Arabidopsis thaliana: one gene and its partners. The protein of the gene in region 2 interacts with the protein of the main gene of each other region in a pairwise test. Each region holds a gene or a part of one and is shown on either strand. Other genes may lie near its edges.

Evidence for each region.
Region 1: the proteins of RR3 (region 2) and AT1G36060 interact in a two-hybrid assay, tested with the Arabidopsis thaliana proteins (one large-scale study listed by BioGRID).
Region 3: the proteins of RR3 (region 2) and RAT5 interact in a two-hybrid assay, tested with the Arabidopsis thaliana proteins (one large-scale study listed by BioGRID).

The regions. Positions count from the first base shown.
Region 1 is NC_003070.9:13,453,111-13,458,293, reverse strand, and holds AT1G36060 (Integrase-type DNA-binding superfamily protein), read left to right. Parts: upstream 1-1,957; 5' UTR 1,958-2,631; coding exon 2,632-3,576; 3' UTR 3,577-3,798; downstream 3,799-5,183. Other genes in the region: AT1G36050 (Endoplasmic reticulum vesicle transporter protein), read right to left, coding at 4,611-4,933.
Region 2 is NC_003071.7:17,219,137-17,225,767, forward strand, and holds RR3 (response regulator 3), read left to right. Parts: upstream 1-2,703; 5' UTR 2,704-3,143; coding exon 3,144-3,246; intron 3,247-3,355; coding exon 3,356-3,456; intron 3,457-3,558; coding exon 3,559-3,636; intron 3,637-3,869; coding exon 3,870-3,940; intron 3,941-4,075; coding exon 4,076-4,400; 3' UTR 4,401-4,750; intron 4,751-4,842; 3' UTR 4,843-5,744; downstream 5,745-6,631. UniProt on the Arabidopsis thaliana protein: Functions as a response regulator involved in His-to-Asp phosphorelay signal transduction system. Phosphorylation of the Asp residue in the receiver domain activates the ability of the protein to promote the transcription of target genes.
Region 3 is NC_003076.8:22,193,710-22,198,359, forward strand, and holds RAT5 (Histone superfamily protein), read left to right. Parts: upstream 1-2,577; 5' UTR 2,578-2,830; coding exon 2,831-3,019; intron 3,020-3,366; coding exon 3,367-3,570; 3' UTR 3,571-3,783; downstream 3,784-4,650. Other genes in the region: AT5G54630 (zinc finger protein-like protein), read right to left, coding at 1-551; Fh5 (formin homology5), read right to left, coding at 4,147-4,650. UniProt on the Arabidopsis thaliana protein: Core component of nucleosome. Nucleosomes wrap and compact DNA into chromatin, limiting DNA accessibility to the cellular machineries which require DNA as a template.

The DNA of each region.
Region 1 (5,183 bases), on a different chromosome or scaffold from region 2:
GATTTGTGAATTGTACTATTATTGATGTTTTAGGTTAAAAATGGTGTGTAAGCAAAAGAAAAGAGAGATTAATTGGGACAAAAAATCACACGCGTGAGTCTTAATTTCGAGGCGACGCCAACGTAAAGTCCAATTTCCCACTTGCAGCAAATTGCGCCTGAGATCACGTGATGCTTTCGTTCTCACGTGGCTCTTCTATCTTGCAACTTAATTATCACTTAAATCACTTATTGAAGAAGGTATTATTTCATCATTAAATTAAATTATCACTTAATTATATCACTGTTATTGTTCCAACGGTATTTGTTGACGGTTGGAGGTTTCGAGCATTATTAAGATGCTAAAATTGTCAAATTTAGTTTCAACAAAATTACTGAATTGAAAAGAGAAAACACTATTTTAGAAAACGTTTTTTTGTTAATGAAGTGTGTTAGTGGTAATTTTATGAAGCCACTCTTTCATTTTACTCATAACATCATCCATTTAAGTTCGGAGAAAATTCAAATGCAAAACATTTAGAAGTATATATTTCAAACATTTTTATTATAACAATAATTTTTCTTAACATTTCAAATATATTTATATTTTTGCGTAGAAATTTGAAAATATCACTTAATAAAACAAAATAATTTCTCTAAAACATCTTAAAGTGAAACGGAAGGAGTATAATAAAAATTGAATATACTTGCATAACAATTGGTCTTAAATGTTTTTCGATAAATCTATTTGTATAAGCATAGTAACTTAATGGTATAGTAGAAGTACTAATCGATCTCAGAAGGATGTTAACACTTTTTTTCTCAACTAATTTTCAACGACTGTTGCAAAAAGAAGGAAAAAACGTAAACACCGCAAAAATGGCAAAAAATGCGAATTGTGGCACTAAGGACATGTGACCTGGTTTCTTTGGCTAAGAACAAATGCACCTTTAACTTCTGCTCTGCATGGAATCTTCAGTCTCCACGTACGAGTCCAAGTGTCGTGCGAATGTTAATATTCAAACTCTACAATAATTATCATCAAACAATATAACCAATTCAAGTATTGATTTGTTTCCAAAATAACCGTTGTACTTATGCTTACGCAAGTCCGCAAGTTCATATTTGATATGCTTCTGTCTAGAACAGCTCTGCCCACAGTACTCCGTAGTTCGTCCGTACTCGCTACCAAGAAGAACAAATTCAACCGTATAAATGTTTATGTGGGTTTTGACCCAAAACACTTTGTCATAATCCTTGCTCAAAAAATCGTTAGGCGCTAGTCGAACGATGAGGATAGGTCTATCACCTAACAAAAAAATCAGAGATTATACGAAAATTAATCGGAAATTAAGTTTAGGGTTATTTAATATTTTTAAAACATATTCCTCCATTACAATTAAGAGAATTATATAACATTGTTTTTAGAATTGTATTAAACACATGAAAACAAGATTTTAAGTTCAAATTTATGATTTTTTCATACAAATTAGAACATAAGTTTGATGTTTTAAATTTGGATATTTAAAAAGTTGGATATTTTTAAATGTTTATCTTAAAAAATAAAAAAAAATGAAAAAAAAGTTTTGGACTAGGCATCCTCTAGACAGGTTTAAGCGGATCTATGATGAATAAATCAGATCAACGATTAATCTTTTCGATTTGGACAAAATTGCGGTAGACTCTATCCGATCAGCCGACTTTTTGAACAAGGGATTCATAACTATTCTTCGAAACATTTCACTAGTTACAACATTTATATTCAGTTTTTATTCAATTATTTTTTATACTTCTTTTTTTATATATATTTGGATCAAATATGTATCTTATATAGTGGGAGTCAAATACATTTTTTTAAAGTCAAATACGTTTTTTTAAAAGTCAAGTACATTATTTTAGGATTATTGATGTACAAACAATATTTTAATCTATCTTCATTGAACAAGCCCTCTATATAAACGGTGAGAGTTGGGTGGGTATTACCAAGGTGAGGTTGAGAGCATCTTCCAAAAGAGAGAGTGTTTGTGTGTGTGAGAGAGAGTGAGTGTGAGTGAGAGAAGAAAAAAAAAATTGAGAGATTAAAATTTGAGTGAAATTAGGGTTTATTCTCTTCTTGCTTTCTTTGCTTCGTTTCATCTTCAAACCAAAAGAAAAAAACTCTTCCATGTCCTGTCTATTCATCAGTCGTCTTTCTTGAGAAAACACAAATCACGATTTTCTTATGAAGTGTTGCTTTATGAGTTTATATTTTGCCAAAACTCATCTAAAACGACAAACTTTTGTTTAAAATTGTATTTGAAAAGTGTTTTCAAGAAAACGATATCCATCAAAAATATTATGATTTTTTCTGTCAATTAATATTCTTTCATTCTTTTATAGAGTTGATCAACTTCATGGGCATTTTTTAGTTCCCTCAAGTTTTGATCCTCTTATTTTATTTCTTTTTTTGTTGATAAATTTATTTTAGTTTTGATCTATGGAGGTTGCTTATTTCAAACCTCGTTGATCACTTTTATTTCTGTATAAACCAAAAAACCAGTCTTTGAATTTTTTCTAAAAAGACAGGTTTTATTTCTTCAACCATTTTTTAATTATAATTTTATATAATCTTGTTTTTTGTAGTACATTTTTTTTTGTATTTCAGGAAACTCCGATGGCGGATCTCTTCGGTGGTGGCCACGGCGGCGAGCTTATGGAAGCACTTCAACCTTTTTACAAAAGTGCTTCCACGTCTGCTTCAAATCCTGCGTTTGCGTCCTCAAACGATGCGTTTGCGTCTGCCCCAAACGACCTATTTTCTTCTTCTTCTTACTATAATCCTCATGCATCTTTATTCCCTTCACATTCCACAACCTCTTACCCGGATATTTATTCTGGATCCATGACCTATCCATCTTCATTCGGGTCGGATCTTCAACAACCCGAAAACTACCAATCTCAGTTCCATTACCAAAACACTATCACTTACACTCACCAAGACAACAACACTTGCATGCTTAACTTCATTGAGCCGAGCCAACCGGGTTTTATGACCCAACCGGGTCCGAGTTCGGGTTCGGTTTCAAAACCGGCTAAGCTCTATAGAGGAGTGAGGCAAAGACATTGGGGAAAATGGGTCGCGGAGATCCGTTTACCCAGGAACCGAACCCGACTTTGGCTCGGAACATTCGACACGGCTGAAGAAGCCGCGTTGGCTTATGATCGCGCCGCGTTTAAGCTTCGTGGTGACTCGGCTCGGCTTAACTTCCCAGCTCTCCGATACCAAACCGGCTCGTCTCCGTCTGATACCGGCGAATATGGTCCTATTCAAGCTGCCGTAGACGCTAAACTAGAAGCCATATTAGCTGAGCCGAAGAATCAGCCGGGCAAAACGGAGAGGACGTCGAGGAAACGAGCTAAAGCCGCGGCTTCTTCAGCTGAGCAGCCGTCAGCGCCACAACAACATTCCGGGTCGGGTGAAAGTGATGGGTCGGGTTCACCGACTTCGGATGTTATGGTGCAGGAGATGTGCCAAGAGCCAGAGATGCCATGGAATGAAAATTTCATGCTCGGCAAGTGTCCTTCTTATGAGATAGATTGGGCTTCAATTTTATCGTGAAAAATTAGGATTCAATTCATTTTTATTCATTTTAACTTGTTTGTATTTTCTTTTAAACTTTAGGGTTATTAGCTGTGCGTAAAATTTGTAATTTAGCATTTTGTATGAATGTAATGCAAGTGTGTAAATTATGGACAGCTCAAGCTTTTTTGTTCATGCCGTACCATGTAGACCCTTCTTCTTTTCTCTTAATTGAAATGAATATGGTTAGTATTACTACTATGAATATATTGTAACACATTAGAATCGTGAAGTTCCATTCTGCGACAGGACCATTGTGCTTAGCTTAGAAATGATTAAAAAGTAAATTAGTCTAAAAGGGAACAATATAGTGAAAACTTAAAATTTAAATTGCTAAATTTCTAGCTTAATATTATAAATTTTGGTCCTATTTTGAAGAAGTCAAAAGAGAAACACAAGAGTGGAAGAAAAGGATCCTTGATTGAACTTTACGTGGTATAAAGATAACCTCATACAAAGTGCCTACGTTGACGACATTCTCATGCTTTCTCTTTAGAATAGACCGAGTGATAGATAATAAGTAAAAAAAAAAGTAAAACAATTATCAAGTCTTTAAGTTAACACAAAAGATTAGATTTCTTTTTTTGTGTTTAACAATGGTAACCAAAGTGAGTTTTTTTTACGAGCAAACGTTGTCAAATGAGAAAGGAAGACTTGGATGATAAAAGTGTCCATGCAAATATAGAAACCAATTGCCAAGCCAAAGGAATGAGAGAATGCACATATATTAGGCTTGCACATTCGGGTACCGGTTTGGGTTCGACTCGAGTATTTGGATTTTGGTTTCGTACTAGGAATCGAGGTACTATTTGGGTATTTTAAAATTTTGTTCGGGATTGGTTTGGTAACCTTCGGGTTCATATCAGTTCGGATAGTTGATATGGGTGAATTGAAAATTATCGGATACAGTTCAAGTTGGTTACTTTATACTCAAATTTATCCAAACTACTCGAAAAGAAAAACCCGATGTTCCCAATCAAACCAGGCAATATAGGTTAAAGGAGATCATGAGTTTAGTTAGGCTTCAAATATATTCGAGTTCCCGTTAATTTATCAGGTATTATCCTTTTTGAACCAATACCGAAAATATATGAAGACAAGACCCAATCAAATGTTCTAGAGGATCCAAAACAGACCCAAACCGATATTTCGGATAGGTTCTGGTTCAGTTCTTCGAATCCGAGTATTAACCGAGACCTAACATATATTGCAATCGGAATTAATATATTCACTAATAACAACTTTCTCGTCAATACTAATAATGATTCTCTGTACTCTAAGCGTTTATTATGGAGACTGTTTTGCTTCTTTTTCTTCCATTCATTGAATCCATACACTACAATCAAAGATAGACTCAAGACTTAACTTCAGATTCAAAACCCATAATATCTTCAAAAGACAAAAAGTCAAAAGACGATAATTGTAACGCACGCATGAGGCTGTCAACAGCTGGATTGACACAACCCAAGACTTATCCTTCAATTTGCATTAAAAGAGTGTAACGTATCAATATGTATATTTTATATAGTCAGCTTAACAAAAAGAATTAAATAAATGACACCATATTACATTTGGAGCATGAATCG
Region 2 (6,631 bases):
TTACACAATACGTTTCTTTCAACCAGTCAAATCACAGAGTATGAAAATTTCAATGTAAAGATCGGATGTACTTATTATATGTGTAGAACAAGTCAAATATTTACTTTTGTTTGGCTATTACATGGATTCTAGATTTTGTTATAATAAATAATCGGAAAACGTTTTTATCGTCGTCAAATTAGTGAGCTCAGAATACGACTCATTAAGTCATGACAATCTGATAAAGACACAAAAAGATTCCACCAACCGGTTGATTTCTGGTTAAATAAGAAAAAAAAATGTTTTTCTTTTTACTGTTGAAAATATTGAGACACAAGAGAAATACACACAAAAATTGAGAGCTGCTACCATGAGTCCATGAAGGCCAAAAAAGCCCGAAGACAGGGGAAGGTGCTGGTCACCGTCAGTTATATTATCTAACCATTTCTAAAGATTATTAAAAATATTTTATCCACCACAATGTGTGATCCGATTTACATCGACTCACTTAATGCCTTCATTTACCGCACTTGTTAATAGACGTCTTGTTCTTCAAATTTGTCCATTTTGTAAAATTGTAGGGTCAAAAGTTGTGATGATGAAGTTATGAATGTGTTGAAGAGGAGGAGGGGTCCTCTATCATCAAAGAGTCATGGACGGTTGTGCTGAAGTTTCATGAGACAAGATCTCGATGGAAGATCTATTTGACTCTTTTTTTAGGGTTTTTTTGAAATTGAAAGCATGTCTTCCCGACACATCGTGCATTACAATTTCATGATCACTCCATTAATTCATCAAATCGCTTTTATAGTCAACGCCATGATCCTTTGACTCTTGCTTCTTGAGCTCTACGATTGCTGGACTCAATTCTTTTTTCCGATAGTTTTTCAGTATGGTGGTACATATATGTTTTGGTGGTACACTAGCTAGTTTTGTACACATAATTTTGTGGCGGTAAAAAGGTGAAACGTGCAATATTAGTTTAAGAAATTGAGATTACTAGGATCCTTGTATCATAGCCAATGGTATGTCAACAAACAAAAATAAAAGCCATAGTCTTATACAATGGCGGATCCAGGAAATAATTTTATATGGAGCACAATTATAAAAAATCAATAAAAAGACATAGCAAGGCTTGAACTTGGGTTAATGTGGGGCACCATTAAGTAAAATACCACTACACTACATACATTTTTAATTACATAATGCAAACTTATATAAGATTTATATAATTGAGTATCGGGCACATGCCCCACCCAAGACCAACGTGTGTCCGCCCCTGGTCTTATACATTGTCATATTGCTGCGGATAACAAATAAAACAACAAAAATTGACTGTATAGAAAGAAAAAGAAAAGAGATAGGAAATGTGGAAAGTGAGAGAGCAATATGGAACCCACTAGACCCATAAGAGAGTATTGGTTATTGGACGGACTTTTCATGTGTCTACCATACTTTGGATACGTGTCGTCCATATAAAGATGATGATTGATGATGATAGTGGTGATGATGGGCATGACCATGGGAGGCAAATCTTTGGCAGAGAATCAAGTGAACATTGCCATGTCTTTGCCACTACCACACTACCTAACTATTTAGTAAATTTTCTTATTCTTTTGCCAACGAATCTGATCGCCAAGTATAATACGATGAGCGCAAAACACTATTTCACATTTAGGTTACATTTTTTTTATTTAATACTGTTCGTAGATGTAAAAGCATTTAAAAATAGTATCTATAATACTTAGAATATAAAACATCATTTATACTATATATTTTATATTGTGGATTTTTAACAAATCCCATTAACAAGAGATACTTGTAGCATGGGAACTTACAACTAAATTACCGTTATACTACTATTTTCCTCTCTAAATAATACATTCATCTCTTCTTATTTATCTCCAACCACTAAAAACTTTGACTGGTCATATAATTTTTATGTTACCAATCATCATAATTAAGATTTACCAATTTAACTTCACAAAAAAAAAGATTTATCAATCTAATTTACTGATTGAGTATTACACCAGAGACCAACCACATTTGTACTAAAAGTGAGAAAAAGAAAACATAAAAATTATATCCAATAAGTAAATGATACGCAGCAAAACACGTCACATCGACTCGCATATGAATACACAAACCCCACAACATAAACTGCTAAATAGAAATAGGGACGATGTTGTGGTCCGACGAAAATCTTTTCCACTAGTCACTCTTTCAATCAGGACCATTACAAATTATTTCGAATGTTTGTGCAGAGTATAAATAAAAACAAATTGAATATTGTAAATACATCAACGATCCACCGTAAAAACATTCAAAATTCTATTCCTTTTTTTTTTTTTTGGGATTTAAACCACTCTTAACATTCAAAATTATAAGCAAATTCTTAATTAGGTTCAACGATTATTTGATCGGTGACATCCCAGCAGCTCAATAAACATATATTAAAATCGAAAATAAAAAATACTGTCATCACAAAAACTCGTTATTATTTAATCTCTTTTAAAACATCTTGTTTTCGAACATCTTGCTAACTAATGTATAAGTTTTTTTGTTTTTTTAAACGTTAAACTACAATTCTTTTTGACAATGAACGGTTTTTTCTATATATATATATTTTCAAATGGCTGTTAAAACCCACCAATAGCAATGCATGTGGTTGTGGTAGTATACACATTATTAAATCCCTCATCCTCTTATCTTAAAAAAAAAAAAAGTCTTTGGTGGGCTAAACAAATCCTTTAAAATCTTCATATAGATTTCTTTCCATTATTTATTTTATCCATTATCAAAGTCTTTTTTTTTTTTAAATTTCTTTCTCTCGTTGTCTCCTTGGAAATTACTTTCATCATTTAAAAAACTTGCTTACTCCGTAAACCAAAGCTAGATCCAATTAGTCTTATTTCCTTTTTATTCGTCTCTCTCTCACTATCCGAGATTTGGGTTGAAAAATACAAACCCCCTTTTATTTCTCCTCTTCTCTCCTACAAGCTCATTCAGAACTCTCAACATTTCCGGTAGAGAAAAAAAAACCGTTTTTTTTTTAATCTCTTTCTAAAGAAGGATATCAAAACAAAACACAAAGTTGAAAACTTTGCATCTGGGTTTGTCTATTTTAGATTCAGATCTTAGTTTTTTTCGATTGAATATCTACAATGGTAATGGAAACAGAGTCAAAGTTCCATGTTTTAGCTGTTGATGATAGTCTTTTTGATCGGAAAATGATTGAGAGATTGCTTCAAAAGTCTTCATGTCAAGGTAGATTCGAAAAAGCCATAATCTTTAAGCTATATGTATTGGAGAAAGAGAAGGAAGATATACTGAAAAAAAGGTTTCTTTATTTGGTTCTTGTTCTTATGTTTTGCAGTAACTACAGTTGATTCAGGCTCTAAAGCTCTGGAATTTCTGGGTTTAAGAGTAGATGACAACGACCCAAATGCACTCTCTACATCGCCACAAATTCATCAGGTTCAGTTTTTGATCTTTTACATGATTCAAAGTTGGTTACTTTCGAAATTTGCAATGAATGGTTATATTGAGATTTGTTTGTAATTTGTGGCTTTTGAGCAGGAAGTTGAAATAAATCTAATAATTACAGATTACTGTATGCCTGGCATGACTGGTTATGATTTGCTCAAGAAAGTTAAGGTATTTCTTCTCAATTTGGTTACTGTCTTTTCCATCTCTGGCTAAATTCGTTTCCAGAAAAAGAAATAAAGTTTTTTACTTTAGTTTTCTTTTCCAAATGAGAATGTCAATGGAGAAATTGAAAATCTCATTTTGGAATATTTTCCCACTCAAAAACTTTCCTTTATGCCATTGTTTGATAAAAAAGAACAATTGATTTGCTTCTGAGTAATCTACATGATTGTTGTGTATAGGAATCAGCGGCGTTTAGAAGTATACCTGTAGTTATAATGTCATCTGAGAACGTTCCTGCAAGAATCTCCAGGTAAGAGCTCTGTTTCTTTAAAGTTAATTTGAGTATTATTGATTTGAGAATTGGCAAGTGGATACTATTATTCGATTCTTTGGTTTGAATAAGTCTTTGAACTATCTACAAAATTGTGGTGGTTTCTTCCAACAGATGTTTGGAAGAAGGAGCTGAAGAGTTTTTCTTGAAACCAGTGAAGTTAGCTGATCTTACCAAGTTGAAACCTCATATGATGAAAACGAAGTTGAAGAAAGAAAGTGAGAAACCAGTTGCCATAGAAGAGATTGTGGTGTCTAAACCGGAGATAGAAGAAGAAGAAGAAGAGTCATCAGTGATTGAAATCTTGCCTCTCCACCAAGAAATTGAATCCGAACAACTTGAACCAATGTTGAGTAGTAATAAGAGAAAAGCAATGGAAGAAGTGGTTTCTACTGATCGATCACGTCCTAAATACAATGATATCACAACCTCGGTCTGAAGGAGGACTAACGCAACCCGAGAAGCCACTACAAGACCTATATGGAGAATGCCAACAGAATCTCTCAGTAGAAGATCTGCTAACTCTTGCATCTGAAGCAAACAACAACGGACTGCAAGGAGGACTAACGCAACCCGAGAAGCCACTACAAGACCTATATGGAGAATGCCAACAGAATCTCTCAGTAGAAGATCTGCTAACTCTTGAATATGAAGCAAACAACAACGGACTGCTAGGAGTAATACCGCAGCAACATCGTTATCATCAGGAAAAAGAGACAATGCAGACACAAGGAGATCCACTAAATCGAATACCTATTCAATCAGAAGCTTCAAACCATTCAGATAGTGGTAAGTAGCAACACTAGAAATGTGGTTTCATACTATAGCTTTTGTCATCTCTTATCTTACTTGTTTCTTGGTTGTTCTCTCTTTTCACTCAGGTGATAGCACACTAACAATGGCTCAAAACCAGGATGGTCTCGGACACAGTAGTTGTTTTATTCTCTGTCAATTTACTTCTCTCCCCTAGATTAGCTTTCTTCGTTTTTTTCTTTTATTTTTCATGCTGTTAAACCCACAAGATTTTTGGGAAGTTTCTTGCTACTAGCTTAAGAATCCAAAACTATTGCAAAGATTGAAGCTTTCGAGAATTAGTAATGAATCTTATCAAAACTAACAGCTACATTTACTAGCTTAAGAACCATTAAACGAATTGTAAAATTCTCTCATCTTGTGGGTGTAACAGCATCAAAGATCTAAATCCAATCTTATCAAAAATTGGAAGTGGTCGAAAGTTTTGGCCTTTTGATACGAACAAGCTTCAAAGATATAATTCCTGAGATTGAAGATGAAATTTTTATGATTTGTTCCCTTTGGAAACGAAAACTGTATTAAGAGAGCTATTTGTCCCACATCGGAAAAACAAAACGTTTTGTTGTTGTATATAATAGGGAAGGTAGCGAGTATTGTACGTCGAACTCAGTAACGCGGGCTTGTGATCCAAGTGGAGACAATAAGGGGATGGGACGTTGGGTCGATCTCATTGGGCCGGGTTCGGGTTGGGCTATATTCTGGCCCGCCCATTCCAAGTTGGGAGTTGAGGCATGGGCTTCGAGCGAAGGCTCGGGTCTCATGTCTTCTAGAGTGGGGGAGACCGCGTGAGGCTGGTTTCACAGAGCAGCGTCCACCTCCCGCTCTTGACGGTGGAAGGATTACGGGCCATTGCCTTCCGAGCCCACTATGACCCAATAAGCCGCTCCGATTGGACCATCACTTTTTTATTTTCTCTTTCTTATTTTTTTGTGTACTCTCTCGTTTTTTTCAGTATTTCAAAACTGGACAATAATATTAACGTTTAACTATAAAGAAAGCAAAATCATTAGCCCTAATTTTGATTAGAGATAACATTCCAAGAACTATCTAAAAAGAAAAAAAAATGTGACAAAAGGAAGCTTCTGTGATGTTTGTTGCATCAAATTATTTTACATAATTATTTATTTCCAATCACATGAGTAATATTCATTATGCCTCCTTTTTATGCAATATTTCTGTTGTTTTGTGAAGTACTATCAACTAACGATAGGAAAAATACAAAAGTTTAATTATAAATATGAAAGGAAACAAAATATGTCCAATTATAAGGGAATAATTATTAGTTCGTTGGGGAAATGTCAGCTAGCTCGTAAATGACATTTATTTTGGTATTTAAAAACAAAATAAACACACTATCAAAATTTGCATAACATATAGTACCAAGTAATCAACCACTGGGTCGGGTTGATAAAGTTTGGGTTGCGATCTTCTCTTTTTATTGGTCGAACAGTGACGTGTCCCCTAACGCTGTCCTAACTGGCCAGAAAGAGACACGGCTGGTGAACAGAACCCACACGTGGCGATGTCTTATTGCTGGAAAGATCCTCTCGTGTCCCACGTGCCTGATTATTCTTTCATATTTCATCTCCTTTACCGTAAAAATTCCACCATTGGATCTCCCAATTTTTCCAGTGATTTTTCTTCTCTTCAGCCAAATGAATTGAGCTCACAAAACTGAGAGAGTGAGAGATTATGGCGATGCCTTTGGAAATGGCGATGCTTTTGACGAAAACGGTTTGGTTTGCTCTGAGCGGCTGGATTTTAACATGTTTGTCCATCGCCGACGAGATTGCTGGTTCACTCAGAAACCGAGAAGTTGGTCCTCCTTTACATCTCGCATGATCACATTTACATTCT
Region 3 (4,650 bases), on a different chromosome or scaffold from region 2:
GTTTGGCTCCTGTAAGAAGCTGAATGGTTAAGATAATGCATCGGTGTTCCTGGTCTAAGCATCCCTACATAAGTCGTAGACCGACCATTTCCTCCACCGCCACCTCCGCCGGAATCCGCTGCTCCGACAGGTGAAGCCATGTCTCCGACACCAGTGATCTTAAGCTCACAAGTTGAGTTACTAAGAATAACTTCATGAGTTATAGGATTTAGAAACTCATTGCTTCCAATAGAACGAGGACTACTTATTGGTGGTTTCTCGAAATGTCTTTTGCTTCCATGGATTACGTCTTTGAGATTTGCTATTGATCTTGAACATCCTGATAAACCACCACCGCATACGGCGGCTCCGCCGGATGATATGCCGGAGATTTTCTTGGTGGAGATTGTGGAGAGGTGTTGTTGCTGTTTAGTGGTGGATATTGGGTCGTGGACATCAGATGGTTCGGATTTACAGTGGAGGGATTTCTTGAGTGAGAACCAAACAGTTGGGATGTTGTTCTTGCTTTTGTTCTTCTTCTTCTTTTGGCTTTTTTTGCTTGAATCTTCCATTGTTGTTGTCGATATCTCTCTCTTTCTTTCTCTCTATCTTCTTCTTCTGAATATTTTTGGAAGTGATGCTATAATAAATATAAATTAAATATTGTCGCCGGATGATAGGTAATAATAAGTGGATTTTGTCTTATGAGATATATTAAAAAACCAAGTTTCTTTTCTTTCTAGAAGGCATGTACGAGCAAATGAATCTGAAGGAGGTCTACGATGTCTCAACTCACCGATGTAATAAGTAATAACACGAGAGAATGTTTCTTTCACTTACTGTTTTGCCATTCTTAAAAGTGTAAAAACTGAAAAGACTTCACAACATGTTCATAAATCATGAAATAGTAATTTATAGACTAGTCCATATTTACGAATTATCACATTAACTGAATATTGGAATCTTTTTAGTGGTAAACTTGATTTAATGCACGGTAATAAGAAAAGAAAAAACAAGCTAAATTTCATGAACTTGCATTCATTAACAAAATTAACATTAGCCATAAATCGTGATTAATTCAATGATTTTGGTTTTTAAAAGATCTTTTTTTCCTATAGTTACCGTGTAGAGAATCTTGAATTCATGTCATACTTCTAAACTTTTGGAATTTCCTTTAACTTTCTCTTACAGAATTTAATTACAGTTAATACGATCATAAATCAATGAGACTGTGCGTGAGCAGGTTCACCGGTCTAATAAGTACTTTTACTCGCAAGAAGAAACAAATATTTTATTTCTAAATTTACCTTTGAGATTATATGGTGAAAGAGTTGATTATTCTTCTATGATGTCTGAAACCTAGTCAGGCTAAAACTACATATGTATTCACTCACTATTCATAAATACGTTAATCCAAGCAATAATGATGACAAATTGTTGGTCAGTGACAACTAAATGAGAATTACTAATGAATTAATAGCATGGCTATAGGAAATAAAATTGAATAAAAGAACATTGATTTCATTTCTTTCTGCTTGCATCTGTCAATTCACTCTTAAATGCCCCATAAGAGCATATGAAACATTCTGACATTTCTTGGAAAGACAGTAATCAATATACATTTTAACAAGCCATTAAAATTTATACTAAACTTCTTATTATTACACCATGCATGTAACTTTATCACTCTAGTTTGATAAATAACAATAGTTGACATAATATGTTTATACGAGCGGACGGTGAAATATAAGATTTATTTGTATAAACGAAAGTAAAACCGCAACGATAGTACATCAATATTTTTGCATTATCTCTGTTCCTAATAAAGTAACACTGTAGTATTTACATCATATCGACTTCAAAACATGAAGGAATGGATGACAATAACAGTTCGTTAATGATCAAAACACAATAACTCTAATCTGAATTGTGAGTTTGTCAAACTTTGAAAGTGCATTTATTACGAATTGTAGATATCGCAAAGGGTAGATAATGGAAGTAGGTGTGGGTGTCGTTATAGCCATATTGAATTCAAAAGGAAAGACATTAAATTAGAAATTGAATTTTGAAACATGTTGATAGATCATGTCCTTCTTCTGGGTTACCCAGTTTTGCCCTAAAACCTAAAACCAACAGGACCATCATTTCGACCACACCACATTGACTGGTCTGCCCCAATCTAGCTATGATATATCTTAATTTCCGTATGACTTGGATCCATAAATATTGAAATAGATTTGGTGAACACAATTTACTCTTAAAACTTCTTCTCTTTCATGCATGTTCTTTTTCTCACTTTAACATTTTTATATAGTGACATTTTTAGTAATCCAACGTTATTTATATGATTAGTAATTCATCAAATTTATATAGTGATAAAATTCCACAATGGTTGTTCAATAAAAATATGAACAACACAATAGAATTAGTAAAAGTGACTATGTTAAATCATTTTCTTCGCTGGGGTTTGGTGGGCGAGTTCTAAACCCATAAGCGGCCCATTTACTTCGTAAACTCAATTCGATTTGTTCAGCGTTCCAAGCCCATAATATTATTTTCAAGGGCATAAAATAAATTGAGGTTTATATGGAAAATTTGGAAATTCCCTCGTCCAGAAGAAACCAACAAAAACTGCAAAAGTTCAAGCGGTGGGAGAAAAAACTTCAGATCGTAGCCATTCATTAAATTATAATCAACGGTTTAAACCTCTTCGATCCGCGTACTCTATTCTTATTGGTCAAATAACTTAATCCTCCAACATATATAAACAACAATCAGATTTCTCTCTGTTAATTTCGTCAAGAAAAAAATTCGATTTTTTTGCGCTCTTTGTGGGTTGTTGTTGTTGAAAATGGCTGGTCGTGGAAAAACTCTTGGATCCGGTGGGGCGAAGAAAGCTACATCTCGGAGTAGCAAAGCCGGTCTTCAATTCCCGGTGGGTCGTATCGCTCGTTTCTTAAAAGCCGGTAAATACGCCGAACGTGTTGGTGCCGGTGCTCCGGTTTATCTCGCCGCCGTTCTCGAATATTTGGCCGCCGAGGTAAAATTACATCGTCTTTTCTCTCTTTCCCATTCCGTTTCCGATCTTATTCGTCTGACTCTGTTTTTGCGTGATCGATTACGAATCTAGGGTTCTTACATTTTCCGAATTTGACATGCAAAAATTGAATTAGATTCGTGTTTGAATTGAATTGTTGTAGTTCTGTAATTGACCTAATTTTGGGTTTGTTCTGATTGGTTGATGGTAATCGAGATCATATGAATCGTTGTAGTTTTCTCGCAAGATTCTAAATTTTTTTCAATTATGGTAACCAATTTGATTTGAGTTGTTAAAGTTCTCAAATTTGGAAAGTTTGATCATGAATTGTGTGTTTTGAATTTGTTCAGGTTCTTGAATTAGCTGGAAACGCAGCAAGAGACAACAAGAAGACACGTATTGTTCCTCGTCACATTCAGCTTGCGGTCAGAAACGATGAGGAGCTAAGCAAGCTTCTTGGAGATGTGACGATTGCTAATGGAGGAGTGATGCCTAACATCCACAATCTCCTTCTCCCTAAGAAGGCTGGTGCTTCAAAGCCTCAGGAAGATTAGGTCTTTTAACACAATGATATAGAACACGTCTCTCTTTTGGCTTTAGATCTAATAACCTAATAACTAGCTAGATGTTTTCACTTTTTGTATCTTTGCTTTTTTTAATTCCTTTAGGGATTTGTTTCTTTCCGTTTCTGTTTCGACATGTTGTTTCTGTTTTTGTGAATATATGAAAGTATTTTGCGAAATATGAATGATAATGTCTTTCAAAAATGCTGATGCCTTATTCAACAAGCAAACACTGCACTTTGTAGAAGTATAAAGATTTTCTTTGTTGTTGATAGTAATAGTACAAGAAAGAAAAAAACACAAAGGATTATTATTCTATGGCCAACAAGATTGAAAAAATATGAAAAGAAAGTATTTCTAAGACTAAATGTGAAAAAAATTGGTACAAGTGAGTGACAGTGTCTATGCCTCTTTAAATTACATCTGAAAAACTCATAATCAGTGACTAAAACCTGACATGTCTTGAGGGTTAATGCCATTACACTCACAGCAGGAAAAGATAAGCTCTCAGCAAAACAGCAGATGAATTATGTCCTAACAGGTAACGAAACCAAAGATTTGTACTTTTTAGTCTGAATCTGAACTAGACTGATCCACGCGTCTCTCTGTAATAGCTGGAAACAGCTTCTGCCTAGGATCTAATGAAGGCGTTTGTCTTGGAGTTTCAGAAGATGCTGAGGCTGTTGAGCCTTGTTTTCTGGCCATCCTTACGGGTCTTCCTCGTGCTTCTCTGACTTCTTTGCAGGATTTATCTAAGATTATCAGAAAATCGCGCACAATCACAAACAAACGCAACCCTTCGTCTTTTCCTGCTTTGCCATGGAAATAGTCCCCTGTACTTTTCACCAAAGCCATTATTCTCTTCTCTTCCTCGAGTATGGACATGATGCTTCCTTCAGCATTTTGAATAAAATCTTCAAGCGCTTCACGAAACCCACTCTCCTCGCCTGAACTTTTCATCTCTGAGTTGACAAAGTCTCGAGCTTTCGACAAAGCATGACCCATTTTAAGAACAGTCCCTGTTAAACCATCGGCATCTATGTTTGCAGATTTCTTTACATGTTCAAGCTC